4 linked regions of the Drosophila melanogaster genome follow. The protein of the gene in region 1 interacts with the protein of each later gene in a pairwise test. Each region holds a gene or a part of one and is shown in the gene's direction. Other genes may lie near its edges. The genes, in order: unc-13, brp, Rbp and Liprin-alpha.

The links.
Region 2: the proteins of unc-13 (region 1) and brp interact in a two-hybrid assay, tested with the Drosophila melanogaster proteins (one study listed by BioGRID).
Region 3: the proteins of unc-13 (region 1) and Rbp interact in a two-hybrid assay, tested with the Drosophila melanogaster proteins (2 studies listed by BioGRID).
Region 4: the proteins of unc-13 (region 1) and Liprin-alpha interact in a two-hybrid assay, tested with the Drosophila melanogaster proteins (one study listed by BioGRID).

The regions. Positions count from the first base shown.
Region 1 is NC_004353.4:890,561-895,545, reverse strand, and holds the start of unc-13 (unc-13), read left to right. Parts: upstream 1-1,980; 5' UTR 1,981-2,041; intron 2,042-2,596; 5' UTR 2,597-2,652; intron 2,653-2,705; 5' UTR 2,706-2,749; coding exon 2,750-4,985.
Region 2 is NT_033778.4:9,502,009-9,506,820, forward strand, and holds the start of brp (bruchpilot), read left to right. Parts: upstream 1-1,756; 5' UTR 1,757-1,837; intron 1,838-2,995; 5' UTR 2,996-3,460; intron 3,461-4,812. Other genes in the region: Wnt2 (Wnt oncogene analog 2), read left to right, coding at 1-248, 314-501, 719-1,031.
Region 3 is NT_033777.3:15,372,901-15,377,671, forward strand, and holds the start of Rbp (RIM-binding protein), read left to right. Parts: upstream 1-1,734; 5' UTR 1,735-1,961; coding exon 1,962-2,068; exon of another isoform or gene 2,069-2,777; intron 2,778-4,771. Other genes in the region: Ccm3 (cerebral cavernous malformation 3), read left to right, coding at 1-113, 486-570.
Region 4 is NT_033779.5:6,722,221-6,726,925, forward strand, and holds the start of Liprin-alpha (Liprin-alpha), read left to right. Parts: upstream 1-1,682; 5' UTR 1,683-1,864; exon of another isoform or gene 1,865-1,957; 5' UTR 1,958-2,173; intron 2,174-2,606; 5' UTR 2,607-2,627; coding exon 2,628-2,876; intron 2,877-2,937; coding exon 2,938-3,039; intron 3,040-3,555; coding exon 3,556-3,909; intron 3,910-3,981; coding exon 3,982-4,083; intron 4,084-4,152; coding exon 4,153-4,320; intron 4,321-4,378; coding exon 4,379-4,498; intron 4,499-4,705. Other genes in the region: homer, read right to left, coding at 1-210, 577-590.

The DNA.
Region 1 (4,985 bases):
TTGATTTGCATTGAGTAAGTGAAGTTCTAGTTGATGTTGATCGCTTAATTGGAACTTAAACTAACTGTTAACAGGTAAGTTAATAGATAAAACTAAGCATATAATTTGTAAAATGGCAAAAACAAAGGAGCTATCAGTTGGGCATCGAGTCGAGATTGTCACTAAACTTAAGACTGGTTCTTCTGCATCCAAATTAGCTGAGTTGTACAAAATATCACGTAAAACTGTGTACAATTTAGTTAAAAAAAAGGACACTGGGAAATTTGGAAAATTAAAAGAAACCTGGCCGAAAAGTTGCATTGAACCCAAGACTGCAGACACATTATTGGAGTTGTACTCAGTAATCCCACCATTAGTCCCGTTTTAATTGCCGCAGCTTCGAAAAATTTAATTGGAAAACATATAGTACACTGCGTCGCAGAATGAAGGAAGTTGACATCAACTCCTATGAAAAACGTCTCTCATTTGCCTTGGAGTATAAAGAGAAGCCTATCGAGTTCTGGTTTGATGTTTTATGGACTGATGAAATTGGGTTTCAGTTTCAGAGATCCTTTAGCAAGAAATTTATGCATTTCCCAAAAAAACTAAAGGTTGAATGCCGTCCAGCTAATCAATCGATTTGGTGGTGGCACGGTGATGTTCTGGGGCTGTTTAAGCTACTTTGGATTTGGAGACATGGTACCGATAGAGGGTACAATAAATCAAACAGGATACCTCCATATCTTAAATGAGCACGCATTCACCTCAGGAAATAGACTGTTCTCCACGAAAAAAAAACGCAAAAAACAATTAAAAAAGCTGTATGTAAATAATTTTGACGCGTAAAAATTGTGTGTAAATACTTTTGACAACAGACAAGGATCAGTTCAATGCTTCTATTTTTAAACCCTAAACAGTTATTTTTTCCACTTCTTCTTTCGTTGGGTAAAAAGCTGTTTTGGCTGCCTAACAATTTTTTAACGAAAATGTATTGACGAATTTAAGGAATTTTAAAGTATATACAGCTTTAAGGGTTTTACGAAAAGTGGTATTGTCTGTCAAGCACTTAAACATAAATAAATGCATACTAGGATTGAGCAGACAGACAAAAAAAAAAACAAAATTTTCATATTAACAAATTCGCCAAAAACATAATTTTTCTCCTGAATATAATTTTTTTAAGTATTGGTTGTTTTTTTCGTTGCCTTTCCTTTACTAGTATTTTTATTTCTTTGCTTCGCCAGTACGCTTATCGTCCACCCTGACCTATTGCTAATTGATAACCACCATATATTTTATAAACACAAATCTAACAAATTTAGGATTTTGTAACGGTATAAATAAGACACCGCCGTTTTATCTTAGAAATTTCATATCTGTTTCAATGAATGGCAACATTAACTCAAAACTTTTAAACAATTCATGTAACGACCGCAAATTGATGCTCGATAAATAACGGAAACAGTTCCTCGCATTTCTTGAGCAATGGGCATGTCACAGTCAAAACTTTCGACTAAAGCTTTCAAAATTGTTCTTAAATATTTAATGTTTGTCATTTCCTTTTTAAGGGAATTCCATTGGACTTGATCTTGAGACAATTCTGACATAACGCAATGTATTGCCCCTGAAAATTATTCAAAATTGATTAGGGAGTACGACTAAAGCTTTTAATTTGAATGGTCTTAATTTGACATATTTCGAGGCAACTCTTAACAAAATCGTTCGATGTAATTATTCTGAAAACCTGTTAACCGTTTACGAATTGTAAACGGTTAATAAATGGTCTTAGATGTGACATTATAAAAAAAGGAGTAAGTTCAGTTTATTACAAAAACTTTAAGAGCGTTTGACAGAGAATGGTTAAGGCATGCGCAATAGATAGAAAAATATTCTCTTACATTTTTCCCGTCTTACCCACACTTGACTTTTTTCTGTATACATAAGCTTTTCAATGGTGTACTAAAAACTAAAGTTCTAAGTGTGTAACTGTCATCCGCGCAAAGCTTACTTGCTGGTAGCTTCATGAAAACGGAGCTAGGCGCAACAAAGAATTTACTAAATTGTACTGTGAATTTCAACGTTTTTTTAATTCTTAGCAGAGCACAAATAATTGTTCGTAGTGGTTTCAAACCGTTTACATTAAGAAAGCCAGATAAAAAAGCTTAGGCCTTTTAGTTAAAAATTGCATATACATAATTTTGTGCACAGAAAGACTATAAAACAGTTTTGTTTTTATAAAAAAGAAAAAAAGCTGGAATCGCTCTTAAGCCCAGATACCAAATAATTAATAAACGCATCCATTTTAGGATCCCCTTTACAGTACATACAAGCATAATTGAAAAACCTACCAATATTAAACCACATTTGGTACTAGTTAATTAATTGCACAAGTTTTTTAGTTGAAGTAAATTTCAAACAGACACATGTGTATTTTGTTACAACTAATATAGGTCATATTTAAAAAGCATTTTTATTTACTTTGAGTGTGCTTAGAAGTGAAATTAAGACCGGGTTTTATCTAAATACGTTTTGAAATACACATACATACATAGTACAAGAACCTAATTTTAATAGTTATGTGTATTTTTTTTGTCGTCAACCACTTAACGCTGTTTAGGTACATATGTATATAACAATTCAGTATTACAGACGAAATTGGCTTTTGAAATAAACGTATGTATTCCACACAGAGCATTAAAACACATTTTAAAAACAAAATTATTTAGGTAAAAACAAAACTAATCCATCGAATAAAACCCTAATTAACGGTATGATGAACACATCTCAGCTGCAAGTGACCGGGGATACGGAAAAAAAAAGTCAGTTGCTTAAAAAGGAACTCAAAATAAACACCCAGGAAAAGCTTATCTTTGCAGAAAATGCCCTCAAAAGCCAGATTAAAATAAAGGAGCAGTTACGACTTCAGCAACAATCAACGATTTATGCGTCGTCACTATTGAGCTCTTCTGCTGCCGGATCAGTAAGAGCTCCGCTCTTAAGCCAGGGGCACCTTAATTCTATCCAACACAACATGGATTTTGACCTTGCCAAAGCACAAATACCGGAAATGCAACCACCGATGAGTAAGTCGCCCAATGGATTGGATTTCTCTTACTTAAGTTATCCAAGCATAAATACTAATGAAAGTATGATATCGATTAAAAGTGAACAACAGTTGTGTCAGAGCTACAATTCGGAGCAACACTCTGACTACATTATCTCCGATTATATGGATAAAATTGCAACAAGGATCAGTTTACTCGAGACAGAGCTGAAGTTTGCTTGGCGTGCATTGGATTTGCTTTCTACGGAGTACGGAAAGATTTGGATTCGTTTGGAAAAGCTTGAAAACATATCAATAGAACAACAGTCTGTCGTTGGCAACCTTGTGGATCTTATCGGCGCATCAAAAAAAGAACTTCAAAAAGTGGATATCGAAAGAATGAAAGTACCCTTATATCAAGATGAAGATCAATTGCTACCGTTGGAAATGGAAGACACATTAGATATAGATATCCAATCATCTAATCGTGACTTTGATAAGAATCTTACTTTTGAAAATCATGAAAAAACTTTTGTAACAAAACATACGCAAGCTACTAAATCGGAAGACCTTATGAATTCCGCTTACGCAATAGATTCCCATCCAAATTTTGAAAACATTGATTTCAATGGCAAAAACTTAGACATTGGGATAATAAAATTTGGTTTTGAAAAAGGCTACGAGCCAAAACAAAAAGGTAATCAATCGGATTTTGAAGCATACAAGGAATCAAGAACTAAACTTTACTCAGATTCTGACCTTATGTTATATGAGAGGCAGCAGTTTCTAGCAAATAGCGCGCGTGCCGAATTAATGAAAGAATTTTTAAATGGACGTCGAGTTTTAAATGAGATTTCGGCATCCTCGGGTGCATTGTCAAAAAGTTCTGAGAAGGATAAAAATCTTGTAAAGCCTAGAGAACCACTGTTAAGTGAGATAGATGATACATACGTGAGACGGTCAACCTGTGAACTTGTCAGCCCTAGTAGTAATAATTTTTTTCAAATAGCAGCCTCTAAAACAGGCGAGGGTGGAAATCAGGTTTTACCCATTGAAGACACTGGAGGAACAGAAAGTCCAGCTAATATTAATGAAGTAGACGAATCTTTTTATAAAAATCTAAACGAGGCTTATCGAGACAATGAATTGAGCTCTGAGATATTTAAGGTTGATGCATTGCTACATCAGTCTGAGGCCACACATGACCACATCTCATTTATCCGAAACCAGTCAACTTCTTCCCCAGTTTTAAATAATCAGAGGGTGAATGCTATTACAGGTACACAACCTTTACAGACTGCAAAGGCGTGTCTCGTAACAGAGCCAAACCAACATTTGAACAAAGAACCAAGAAAGCACAGAAAAAAAAAACATCATACAAACGAAATGGATATGATTAATAAACTAAAGTGTATCCTTGCACAAGCACAATCAACAGAGATTATTAAGAGAGACATTGAAGAATTGGGTTCGAAACTTTCAGATGCATGTGTAAAACAAACTGAAACGGAAAATAAATCAGACAACCATATTAGTACCAGTTATTTAAAAGATGATATACGAAAAATGTTAAACAACGTAATACAGACTTTATTGGGGGAAATAAATAAAATTAAAGGGTTACAATCATTGAGTGCAACGCAATTGAGTCAGTTACAAAATGCCGTATGGTCGGAAGAAAGGTTTTTTCAAAAAATTAGTCTGGTCGATAAAAAGTTGACTTTGCTGTTACTTAATCCGTTAACTGTTACTGAAGAACTGCAAAGGCTTTGCATTTCAAACACAAATGAAAAGTTTGTTCTGGTAATAAAAAAGTTAAAAAAAAATATTGACACTCTAAAAAAATTAGTTGGCAGCTCATTGGATGACTTTAAAATAGATAATTCACACGCAAATATGACCACATTTCACAGCCTTAATCCATCCCATAATTCTAATGATAGCAGTTTTAGTGCACATTTAT
Region 2 (4,812 bases), on another chromosome or scaffold:
GTGCCGGAGCGGCGTACGCGGTGACCGCCGCCTGTGCCCGCGGCAACATCTCCACCTGCGGCTGTGATGTGCGGCACAAAGCCACGCCCACTGGCGGCGGTACGCCCGACGAGCCCTGGAAGTGGGGCGGCTGCTCGGCGGACGTGGACTTTGGGATGCGGTATGCGCGCAGATTCATGGATGCCCGCGAATTGGAGCGCGACTCCCGCACGCTGATGAACCTGCACAATAACCGAGCAGGGAGAACGGTGCGCATGCATAAAATTTAATAATAAATATGGCCTAGTTAATAGTTATGTTTTTCTCTTATCAGCTGGTCAAGAAGATGCTGCGCACGGACTGCAAGTGCCATGGCGTCAGTGGCTCCTGCGTGATGAAGACCTGCTGGAAGAGCCTGCCGCCCTTTCGACTGGTTGGCGATAGACTCATGCTGAAGTATCAAAAAGCCAAAACTGTTCAAGCCGTCAAAGGCAAACGTGGACTGAGATTAGTATTAAGCAGGTGAGAAATGGGAATCTTGCAAGATGTTGCATGATATGTAGGCAATAATCTAATGGCTAAATAAGTATTCTTCTAAAAAGAATAAAACACATAGTAGTCATTAAGTCCTTTTTAAATGCAATATGTTTGCTGTGCCTTCTGTAGCACGGTATAATATCAACACATTTTCGATCCCACATATTAACACATACCTCTTTCCACTTTTAATTTCTTGCAGAAAGAAGCATGCCGGCACCGCTCGTGCCCAGAAACCGGTCCTCGATTGGCCGAAGCGCATGGAGCTGATCTACCTGGAGGCGTCGCCCAACTACTGCGAGCGAAGTCTGCAGACGGGCAGCCAGGGCACCTCAGGTCGGACCTGCCAGCGGACCGGCCACGGCCCCCAGAGCTGCGATCTGCTCTGCTGTGGGCGTGGCCACAACACGCAGCACATTCGAAGGACCACGCAGTGCCGCTGCCAATTCCGCTGGTGCTGCGAGGTCAAGTGTGACGAGTGCGACGAGAGCTACGAGGAGTTCACCTGTAAATAGACGGGTAGCGGGAGCATATCGCTAGAACTAGGGCTATGTCATAGGAAATGCGTTGATTAAGTATTATGAGAAATGTATTACAACCGCAGATACGCACCGCGCCACCATACAGACACATTCCAGAATAAACGTAACAAGTTAACATCCCCAACGAATACTGTCTTATTATTAAGTTCGTATAATTCAAATAAGTATTTAAGTTTTCTTAGAAAAGAACCTTCTGCAAAAAAGCTAATCTAGGTGAGCTGATACATTCAGTCTGCTGTTTCAGATTTCTTATTCCTTAAAAATAGTTTCCAAAATAATGAAATCCAAATCTTTAAGAATCTATAATCTGTTCTTATAGAAAACTGTTCCTAAAACCAACGAGTTCATAGTCTAATTTTGAGGGCGGTTTGAATAGTTGGCGCGCAGCATTGCCAACGCTGAATGTGGAGCAATACGTAAGACCCACATTCGTTTAGCGTAACGCAATGCGCTGGCTCCATATTTTGGTATTGGAATTCCGGAATCCATTAAGCTGGCAGCTCGAGATGCCAGCACTCACTGAACTGCGCGAGCGCCGAAAGGAAAATTCATTGATTGCAATCGCGCGCTCTCCGGCTAGCTCTCCCTATGCCTAGGCCAGGAGGAAAGCAGAGGGTGGTCGGTAAGGAAAAGTTGGAAAACTCACCACTTGCCAGCGAATCGGCGACTATATTAGCAACTGGCTTGCACGAGCCGTGCTCAGTTCTTTGAGGGTAGTTAGTTGGACAACGGCGTTGCCGAAAACGGGCCACCTCAGCTGCCGCACAATACATTTTTGGGTTAGGAACACACATAGACACGAATACCAATACACTCCCGCATGCACACACACATACACACACGCGCAGTATATGTATCTGGCCGAGAAATGTATAAGGCCAAGAAAAGTCCAACTTAATTGCATTCGCAGCGGAGAAAAGTGAAAGAATAGCGCGAGAAAATTCCATTGACTGGCGAAAAGTGCTTCGATCAAATGCATAAAGTCCCCGTTAGTGTGTGTGTATGTGTGCGAGTGAGTGAGTGTGCGTGAATGGCAGCACTAGCGCTAGAGGCTGCTCCCTGGATACAGAAAAGTGATTTCCTGCAAAAAGTGCGAAAAAAGCGAGTTAAAAGCAAATCGAGCTGGCCAAAAAGCCGCCTATAGCGCTCAAAATCGTGTGACAAACTCAAGGAACCATTTCACACACACCCTTTATACGTATATATATATACAAATGTGCATTTGTGTATAGTATATCAGTGTGAAAGACCAACGTACAAACACACACTGTCAATCAAAAGGAGTCATCTGTCCCACTAAACGCTGCCTATCGATTGGGGCGAAAGCAAAAAAAAATTATTATAAATTGCTTCAACCTACATATAAGCCATGCGAGTTATACACACACACTCGCATTCGCACACCCACAAAACCGCACTCACACACACACACACACACATACGCATACGCCTACAAAGAGACATTAAGTTTGAAAAGCTATAAGCTGTATAACAGAGCCTAGAGCCGAGCGAATGAAGTGACGGAAGGTGGGGTGCCAGCATAATGTTGAGCCACCCAAACCACCCGCTCAGCTCCACCGCCCCTCGCCCCTCGCCACACGCCACTCCCCCCACAATCCCCTTTCGTTACGTCGAACCTTACGTTGTTCGTGAGCGTAACTCGTGCGTAGAACACTCTCCACTCCATTTTGCGGAGCACTCTTCAACTCCCTATCTCTCCGTATCGCTGTGTTTGCTGTGCCTGTGTGTGTGTGTGTGTGTGTGTGTTGGGCTCGAATGTGTGTCAGCGGGAACGAGTGTAAAAAATATCCTCGTTGGGCACGAAGCCACCAAACCACTTGGAAAAATAAATGAAACACAAAAAAACCCACTCAGTGAATGAAGACTTTAATTAGTTTAGCTGGAAACTCACGCGGTTTAATTATCCTCCCACACAGCCATGTACATAAAACAAAAGCCGTTTAAATCATAAACACAAAATGCAATTAGCCAGCGAGCGCACGCCACGAAAGTCAACAAACTAACTAAGCCAGTGTCATCAACTAAATTAGTGCAAGCAGCTAGCCGACCGGAACCGGAAATGCCCATTGAGCCGCCTGACAACAACCACAAACACAATCACAATCGCAGTCACCAGCACCATTGCATTGGCAACGGCCATAAAGACGAGCAACAAATCGCCCACACACACATGTAGTTGCAGCGCGAGTGCGTCAGTGTGTGCGGGCTCTGAAAACCGGAAGCGGAAGTCGAGGAGCAGCAGCAGGAGCAGGAGCAGGAGCAAGAGGATTAAACGAACGAGGAGGTGCAGTAGCAGGAGCAGCAGCTAGCTTAGCCAGTTTTTCATTCGCCCGCAGTTCGTTAAGGAAAATCATTCAAAATTCATCGCCTAAGCAAAGCGGGTGAGCTATTTAACCGTATTACGTATACGTAACGACACCCACACTGACACTGAGATACACACACATAAACGCACACACAACCAAAGAAACACGGCAAAAACTTCAATTTGTGATGTGAACCATAAGCGATATTGATTTCTGATTTGTGCGTATGCCTTGTGTAACAGGAGCCGCCATAATTTAATCGTAATCAGTTATAAGTAATCTGTTTTTGTGCCTGCCTTTGTTCTCTCTGTGTAACTTCTTTATCTCCTGTACGTATCTGTTGTGATTTCTTTCTTGTGATTTTACCGATGAATATGTCCAGCTGAATATAAAATACGATCCCCGATTATCTAGACCTAGTTGCAGTCCTAGAACGTAGTCGAGTAACTTAGTTTAGCGAGTAATTTTAGTCTGTTCTCCATGCATTACCCATACGCCCCGTTCAATCAATCAATCATCCGGAGATTGGCAAGCAATTTGAAAACTTATAATTAGATATGTGGATGGTGCCTTGTGGGGCAGGCTCGACGCATTCGATTTGCTCGCATGATTTGTCAGTTTTTTGTTCAGCTTTTTTGGGGGCCGGCCCAATCACCTCCTTTGCGTGTCAATGATGCGGTGTTTGCCTTTATTATTTACTTCTTTCGGCTGTTATTTGAGTTGCTTGCTCTAATTTTAGATCAGCCGAATAACTTTTATTGATTTCAAATTTCAACCTTATTTTACATGTGGTCTGAGTCAGTGTCTGTGTGTGTCTGTTGTGAGAGTCAGTGTGTGTGCGGGCGAAGAAAACGCCGCCAATCCATATATTGGGGCAGTGGTAACAACAAAATACGGCAAATATTTTACGATGACGCTATTGTTGTGAGCGGGAGCGAATGGAGAAAGCAGCCAGAGGAACGGAGAAAGGCGAGAGGAGAAAGGGAAGTGCGCTGGTGAGATGGCACGCATTTGCGCACTAGCCTCCCAGTGTGGTGAGTTCTCTCTCCGGCTTTCTCCGGGGACGCCTCTCGTTTTTTCGGAAGCTATTCAACATGTTTGTTTTGGGGTGGAGGCCCCCGGAGCAGATAGCCTGATAAGATGGCCTCCGGACGGACAACAATCGTAGTGGCTTCCAGTTTCAGCTTCAGCTCCAGGTCCCCCAAGTATGCAGCTAGAAGTGCAATCCGTCTCCCGCTCTCCGCATCTACATACATCTGGCAGTATGGCAGTATATATCTGGATATGTTTGCCCAGCAAAGTGCACTGCCTGGGGCTCCCTAATGGCATGGCGATGTAATCGAATCTGGGCCTGATATTTTATGGCCTGTCTGCCATATCCTGACCTCATCTGCTGCGCTTCCTCCATCTTTTTATGTCCCCATTCT
Region 3 (4,771 bases), on another chromosome or scaffold:
TCGTTTATACCTGGCGTAACGGGCAAGCAGGCTGTGGAGCAGCGTAAGAAGGAGTTCGTCAAATATTCCAAGAAGTTCAGCACAACGCTGAAGGAGTACTTCAAAGAAGGACAGTAAGTATTAAGAATCACCTGCAGTGATTATTTACTATATGTGTTATCAAACGATACGCTGCGACGCCATGACAGCCGGTTTCTTTAAATCGGCTCATATCTGGTTTCTTATCGTTTCGGGCCAACCGTTGAGATGATGTCATTCCATTGGCATTCCGGGTATTGTTTGGTTTATCATTTTGCGCCGGAGATTCTGAGGGGCGGATATTAAGCCGGACCCCCGCCCATTTTAAATTGTAAATTGCTTCGATTACGTACTAATGGCTATTACCGCTGACCTTTTCATGAAATTGGGGCCAAATTGCATTACTAATTCAAATTGCTTCAGCAAGGATTTTCTAACCGATTCTCTTTTATTTTATCTATTTTCAGACCGAATGCAGTATTCATAAGTGCACTTTTTCTAATACGGCAAACGAATCAAATAATGCTGACAGTTAAGAGTAAATGCGAGTAGAGAATTAAATCCTTTAATTATGGCAAATTAATTAATTAGTGGCATTTTAATTTTATGTTTAAATAACCATTTAACATACCAAGACCGAAACAAATCAAATAAACTCAACACACTTAAATACAAAATCGCCCGACGCAGTCCAAGTTAAATGTTTGAACGTAAATGAAAATCTGTTGTAACTAAATAAATAGGCCTAATTTATATCGTATATACATATGTATTACACATACTCGGACACAAAATTTTGCGAAGCCTAAGCATTGTAATTAACTAGTGAGCAACTATTTATGGAGACGGACGATGTGTGCGAGAGTTTATTTTTCGTTTACAATTTATTGTAAATAATTCATTCTTTTTCTGTTAACAAACAACATCGGCTAGTTTGTTTTTGTTTAGGAGAAGCGCCTACGAATAAATTTAAAATTAGTGGAAAAAAAACGAGAAACAGGAAATGTATGTACTACGGGGAGATGACAAACAAAAACATTAACGGAACACTTAAATTTTTAACTGTTTTTAATTGTTAGAGTTTGAAATTTAAACACTATACATAATAATCTTTTACTTAATGATATGTTCTATTTGAAAACTGCGAAAGCGAAAGACATTAGTGGCCGACAGCACTATCAACAGGATGGAGAAAAAATTATTTTAATTAATAAAATGTTATATGAAAATCGAACACTAAGCAAAAGTAAAAGAACGGCAACAAACTCATAATGTAGACATAGCGAAAAGAAAACGACAAATAAATGTATTTATATTCCAAAATTGAAAAGAGTGTTTCATATTTAACCAATTTACGTAAAATTACTTTATAATTTATAGTATTAGGTGTGGTATGATGTGGAAATAATTGTTTTATATTACCCGAGAATTGATTTCGAAAATCAGAGATTGGTAAACTGAAATCAAAATCTCAGATTTACACGCACATGTCGTTAACAGAGGACAGCGCTGTTAACGGATAACAGCCAAAAGTAATAGTAAACCCCCAATAACAGGCCCTGAGCAGAAATTTACCCAGTTGCAACCCCAAAGGAGTCCTTCTGAGAGCGGGAGAGAATTGCCCGTTTTTCAGTGTCATTTGGCAGAAAAATCGATTCCCCGCACACTGAATAGTGGGCACTGGGTACTGAGTGCTCGGCTCTGGGTTCTCTGGGCCACTCTGCTCTGGCACACTGAGCACCGAGCTGGCAGTTGGGTAGAAATCAGAGTGCGCCAGCAGCGCGACCGAGATGACCCACTTTTCGGTATTCGCACTGAGACCCAACTGCTACTACCCACAGAAAGTGGACAACTAGGCGGAGTTTTTTTCTATATAGTAGCAGTGAAACGATCGCGTTTTTCGGATATATTATGTACAGCCTACGTAGCCTAGTGTAAACTATATGCATTTATGTGAATTTCCCAGCGCAAACGTGGAAGAGGAAAACAGGCGACCTGAAAAAGCAGCAGCAGCAGCAAGCAAGAAGCAGAAGCACAAGCAGCAAAAAAGGTTCGCAACCCGTTCAAAAGCCCCCGAATACAAAATATTACAAAAAGTTAACCCAAAAAGAAAGGATAAAATCCTGTGCTTCCGAAAACGAAAACCGCAGTTTAAGCAAAAAGTGTCAAAATCGCGTGGTAAATACTTATTTTGCGCAAGCTGAAAAAAAGAGCTGTTATGCGAGCGAGCGAGCTCACGAAAAATTTCGCTGTACACCAAATGTTTGCCCAACAGCACCGCTGCTGCGTGAAAATTTCATTTTCTCGCCAATAACGTGAAAAAGCTCGCCGCGAGTGCAGTTAAAAAATCCAGTGAAAGATATAATGATTCCGGGAAAATGGTGGGACAGTGAAAAGTAAAAGTGTAAGCATATCGATAAAGGCAAAAAAAAAAAAAAAATACGAAAAAGAGCAGCCAGCGTAAAACTACACTCTCCCACACACACTCACATGCATACATATATCCAAACATATACATATACATACTCGCCCACATGCTGATGCATATACAATATGCAAATGCGGGTAATCACTGTAAAACCGAGGCAGGCGAAATGGTGAATGAAACCGAAATTATAGAAAAATGCCTAAATAAAATCGGAGAAATTGGCTAAAAGCAGAGTTCAGCTACATTTTGGCACAAAAAAGCGCGCACCCACACACACTCACGCATACACCCGCCACACACATACAGAGAAAGCGAAAAGAGCGAGAGGCATGTAAGTAAAGTAGATGTAAATGGCCAACGAAACTGGAGCAGCACCAATACCACTGCAAGTGCCACAACGGCAGGAGCAGCATGTGTGTGTGAGCGTTTCATATTCATAAGCTTCCAGCAGCACCAGCAGCAGCAGCAGCAGAAAAGTCCCACTTTTTGGGTTCGCACTCTGGGGGCGGTTTTCACTTCACACTTGTCCCACAGCCTGCGCAACAACAATGTTAAAGTTGTTTGCTGCTGCGTGCGTAACACACATACTACATACAGTGTACACCCACCACACACGTTCGTGTGTATGTACGTATGCATGTACATATGCATACATATATATGTACACTAAAGGTATCTACAGCGTGCATGCGGTTACCGTTACCTTCTCTGGAGCGGTGTTTTAATACCCGTAACAGCACTTTCCACCGATTGAATGCTTTCACGTATTTCGTATATATTTATAGCCCACTGTACTCAGTTTCCACTGCAATGATCGAAAGTCACGCGTCGATGGCCTGGTACACGTTGCGGATACTTAATACAACATTATCACAACCTAGACGGGCTTATTATGAAAAGAAAGTCTTCATAGCTTCCTTCTATAAATATGTAGTTTTTTCTGTAGATGAATTAAAACATAATTGGCCAAATTTAAATTAACATGTTGCATATGTATTTAATACATGAAGAACTCAAATGTGCAACTATTCAATTGAATTTTCCTTTAAGCCAACAGAAAGATCCCCCGTGTTGAAAAATATAAAGAACGGCTTGAAAAGAAAAGCCATTATGATTTTATTGGATTTTTCCGAGCAGGATTAATCGTTGAGTTTGGCCAATTTTGACAGATGGCAATCATTCAATAATTTATATGCTGGGCTGCCAGCCAAACTGCGACCATGAGATGTCCACAGGCGGGGATCCCCCTGCTTCTCTCCGAACCACTTCCCATTTCCCGGTTTGGCGGTTTGGTTTTCCACCCCATAACTGTGCTATGGTTTTTTTCTATAGTATTTCAGCGCCAGAAGCGACGAAATTCGTGGGTCTGTGTGTGTGCCTGTGTGTGAGCAGCTTGTTATAAATAGGCAAGATAGTTTTTGTGCTCGTGTTCTGGTTCGCTTTTTTCCTTGGCTCTGCGATTGAGGTCATGCCAGCAGCAGGATAATGAACTTTTCCCAACATCTTAAATGTAATTGTAATTGTAATTGCTCGACTTTAAAAAGTTTCTGCTCGCAGTGTTATTTTTAGGACTTGCCACTCGTCATATTCTCGAGCACATTGTCGACTATTTATGCATGTAATTGTTGGCAATGGCTGTTGGCCCCTGCCTTCGTCGGCTATAATTGCTGCAATTAGAAGCACTTGATTGTTATGGCCCAAGTGTGTGAGCATTCAATTAATTGAACGACAGCTCATTAGGGCATCGAAGAGCAGACAATGGTGCTTTAAAACTTTCACCGACCTTTGCTGGAGAATATGTAAATATTAGCTTGGTATGGCCAACTTTTTGCATTTTTCGTGAGTTTGCCAAGGCAACCGATTCCGGATGCTAATTAATTGCCTTTCTTTGCAAACTTGTCTGTCAACACACAAGGTGGAAATTGCCATTTTGCAGTTGCAACTTTTGTTCTCCCGCTTTTTTTTCTTGGTTTTCTGGGCACTTCATTTCAAAGTAAATCAAAGTTGCTGCGCGCCAAAAACCAAAAACGCAACAAAGTTTTTAAATTAGTTTGTCGAAGTTTGGGGCCAACAAAGTTGGCAGGAATATTTCGTTTCATTTCTTTGTGGCGTTTTTTTCCAACCACGAATAGTCAACGAATATTGTTTTAATTACGACTTTTTGTATATTTCACTAGACAGTCGCCTTGCAGTTGTAAATGATATTACGCATACGGCACGTTGTGCGGAAATAAAGATACTGTGCTGGCAGAGGTTACCTTCCCAATTCCCTGCTTTCTCCCTGTTAGATAACGTGCCTCAGTTCCGAGTGAATGGGAATTTTCC
Region 4 (4,705 bases), on another chromosome or scaffold:
TGGGAGGTCTGGGTGAAGGTCATGTTGGGTGTGATCGTCGAGTTTATCACCGCCTTGGTGCCCTCGACACTGATGATGCGGTACAGATTTCGCGAGCTGTCGTAGAAGAAGCTAACGTTGACCGCCTTCATGCTGGCCGTGATCCAGGTGCGCTTCGTCTTCGGATCGATGTGGAAGACGTGCGCCTGGCAGGTGAAAATCGGTTGTTCGCTAAGGGTCATAAAGGGATTAAAGCGACAAGCGTGTGATTAATTAAAAATTCCATTTAGAGCAGGCAATAAATTGTGCTTCTGTGCTCGTGTGAGTAAACTATGGCAAAGCATTCTTTTACTGTGGTTTATTAGTCAACAGGCACTGTGTAATGCATTTATAATTAGTAGTCCTTAAGTCCCAGGATAATCCTCGTGGTCCTTATTTGATAAAGTAGGTCGATATATGTTTGTTTTTTGCGATCTGGCCTGATGCAATGACAGTTTGTTGCGGGGCGCAGGGCCCCCATCAAATCAATTCCGTATCCGTGGTAGCCTCCAGTGCCTTTATTTGTACACATATACATATATATATCTTATCTATTACCTATCCGCCGACATCGTTCGCTGAGCTCTATAACTTGTGTCTTCCCGTTATCGCTGGCGACTGTCGACCGCCGACTAAATTGCATTATGTGCTAAGCCTTTTCCGCAGCCTTGCTTGTGATTTTTGATTCTCGGGCGGAAAACACGCACGCACACACCTGCACAGTCACACACACCTGCACACCCACACACATGTAATTGGCCTGCCCACGCGTGTGCGTGTGTAGGTGTATGTTTGTGTACATATATATGTATGTATTTACGCCGCCCGCTACACACAGAACGGCAGCAACAACAACAACATCATAGGGGGGAGATGTCAGCTAGTTCGGCGTCGATTTTTCCCACAGTAAAAACGGCAGGTTTAGGCCGGTTTGGCCGCGCCCATCGGTCTTACCCCATTGTATTCGTTCTTTGGCGCTGACTGAGTGCTTCCGCAGCAGTTTATACCAATGCTAGTCGGTTTTACTTATGAATTTCACGGTTAAAAAAAATAAAACACAAATGTCTAGAGCTGGAACCAAAATCGATGTTTGTATGGTGCTATCGATGTTTTTACTGGCTCAACACCATCGATGATTTATTTATTAGCTTCCAAGCATCGATAACACATGAGCTCGTATAAGAGCAATGATTCTTATCGAATAATTTAATCGCTGTAAAGCGAATTGCAAATTAATTAAGATAAATAAATACTAAATATGTTTGTCTGTAAGGCACCATAACAATGTAATTTTTTCAAAAACATGTGTAGCTGTTGAAGCATTGCATTTAAATGACGGAAGTTACAAAATAATTTCAGATAAAAGTGATAAGTTTTTTTGACTGTCTAGTTGTGCGCCTACATGTAGTTTGAATATTTGTTAGATATGGTTTTCTTTGTGCGGTGTGGCAGCATTAGTTTTAGTACACATTTTTCTAATACTTGACGATAGGTCAAATGGCAACTCCTGATCGGCAATAATATTTGCATATAATTTAGCTTTGAACATAAATAGACTGCCACAAAAACTTTAAAACAACACATTTTACTTCTATATTTTTTGGACGAAATAGAACCACTGAAAAAATTCATGAAATGTAGTACATTTTGTAGTGAAGAACCAGGGTTGGTTTACGGATTTTAGCCGTTTTGCCATCTGGTAACACTGACCAGTTTCTCATCGTTAAAAAATCCATTTGGAATTCGGTTTATTTAATTAAAAGCAGCCGGGACACCTATGCGAAGGGCAAAAAGCGGCCAGAGTTGTTGTTGCTGCTGCTGCCCAGCCGCCGTGCGATCGATCGGGGTACGTGTTCCGGCGTAACGAGGAGTACGAGGCGATTTTCTCGCAGCCTCTTTTTTTTCACACGAACGCCGTCCCACTAAACCGAAATTTCAGGTGAAAAACTCATTGGAACGCATTTAAAAGCGGCGTAAGCTCGCACCTGCTGCTCGTTTAACCCTGTTTCGGGTATATGTGATTGCAAAATGCGACAGCGACACACCTAGGCACACAAAATATGCCAGTTATGCGAAAGAGAAAAAGTACTGTGCCTGTGTGCGTGCGCGTGTGAGTGTGTATGCCGTGCGTGTGCCCCCGCCTGCGACAGTGTGCGTATGTGTTGGTGTAGAAAACTTGTTATCAATGCGGCGCCTATGATAAGTCTCATTAGACATGTTTCTCCCACTATGCTGGGTATTTCAATTGGAATGGCTAGCGAACGTGTGTGTGTGTAGTAAAATATCCGGACTCCATAGAATGGACATTTTGTATGAATTAATTGAATTTACTTTATAAATTCAATTAACATAAAGAATTTGATTTTATGCAGAAGAAGCTACAGCATTAAGTATCTCCCATATGCGGAATCACAGACAAAAATTCAATCACGCCAATTCATTTATGATCAAGGATCAAATTCAAGAAACTTTAGAAAAACGCGTCTAGTTTTTGTGCTTCGGTAACAGCGATAGTGGTACAATCTCCGCACAAAATGTACCTACAGCCAAAATCCTGTAACCTTTATTCCCCTCTCTGTCTCGCACAGTCTGGCGGCCCCAACTAAATAATGTGGAACATGATGTGCGACGTAATGCCCACGATATCCGAGGATAGCATCTCGCAGCGCTCCTCGCAGTTTAGCGGGGAGGATGCCAACTTTGAGCAGCTGATGGTCTCCATGCTGGACGAGCGGGACAAGCTGATGGACAGCCTGAGGGAGGCGCAGGAGCGGCTTAACGAGACGGAGAACAAGCTGCGTGACGTCGAGAAGGAGCGGGACAGCCTGCAGCGACAGATTAACGCTAATCTGCCGCAAGTAAGTGGCCTCTGCATGCTGATACCGCAGTTTACCTAAAATCTTTTCCTGATCTTTCTAGGAGTTTGCCACCCTGACCAAGGAGCTGACGCAAGCGCGGGAGACCCTTTTGGAACGTGACGAGGAGATTGGGGAGCTCAAGGCGGAGAGGAATAATACCAGGGTAAGTGATTTTCGAAAATTTAGATCCTTGGTATTTCAATTACTGAGACAATTGAGTAATGGTTAGATCAGGTAGATCATGACAAGATTTGCTAGACTAATTTATTAATTTAGGTATTATAGCCATTGCTAAATTACATATCCCATTGTTATTCAAACAAGAAACAGTTGTAGGTACTTGCTTTTGCGAATTAGTCACATATACCGGGAACAATACAAAAGTTTACTCTGTCCGTCTTCATTTTTATTTCGAACATGGCTTGTCTATTTGTTTACTTATCAGTGACTATACAAACATTGTTACAGCCTTTTAAGAATTAGTTCTTTGTATTCACATCCGTCTTAAACCATAAAAAGTGAAGTAAACTGTATTTATAAGTCCTTTCCGCTTCATTGAATATCAAGAAAATCAGTTTTAATTAAATTTCTACGGTAATTTTACTTTTAAAGAGACAATTTAAACGTCGGTTACTGCGTGAAATAATATATTTTTAATGATCTAACTTGACTATTTCAGCTTCTCCTCGAACATCTGGAGTGCTTGGTGTCCCGCCACGAGCGTTCCCTGCGTATGACCGTTGTGAAGCGACAGGCTGCCGCCCAGAGCGGCGTCTCCAGCGAGGTGGAAGTGCTCAAGGCGCTAAAGTCGCTGTTCGAGCACCACAAGGCGCTGGACGAGAAGGTGCGCGAGCGGTTGCGGCTTTCCATCGAGAAGAACAACATGATGGAAGAGGAACTCAGCTCTGCCAAGGAGGAACTGGCCCAGTACAAGGCGGGCGTGGTGCCAGCTGGCGTGGGCAGTGGCAGCGGAGCAGGGAGTGCCGCAACCACCGCCGGTGGTGGGGGCGCCGAGAACGGGCTCAAAGAGAAGGTGCGTTCCACATTCGAAATGCAGTCAAGCATGTCCGGTTTAATATATCTCTTCTATTTTCCAATACCCTAGATGGCGGGCGTGGGCGGATCTGGTGGCGTTAATGGCGAGGCAAATGAGCTGAACGACTACGCAGCCAAAACCCACGAGCTGCAAACCATTATTGAGAAGCAGGTGAAGATTGCGGATCTGTTTCCAGTCTGCATATGGTGAACACTTTTTAAAACGCTCTTTCCTTGTCAGACCTCGGAACTTTCACAATGGCAGCGACGCGTTTCTGATTTGAACAACAAGATTAGTGAGCTTGAGGAGAACATGTCGCGAGTGCAAAAGGAACACTGCAAGGCCCAAGACCAGTGTGCCAAGCTGCAGCGGGATCTGCGCGAGAATGTTGCCCAGAAAGAGGATCAGGTGAGTGAATAATACTCACAGCATGGTTTCAGTTTTTTACTTATACGTTCATTTTTAGGAGGAGCGCATTACCACATTGGAAAAGCGATACCTGAATGCTCAGAGGGAGTCTACATCGTTGCATGATCTCAACGAGAAACTCGAGCAGGAACTACGGCATAAAGAGGCGCAGCTCAAGGTGGGTAAAACCAAGGAAATTACAGCTTATGGTTAAGGCAGGCATACATATCTTTACTTTTATTCATGAGGATCGATTTTTTTTTATTATATTTCGATAAGCGCACAGTCCATTTGTTCAAAAAAATCCATTGATTACTCATTACCTTACTGTAAAGTTATTTCCAATTGAATAGCAGATAAATTTTTCATGATCTTACAAGTCAAG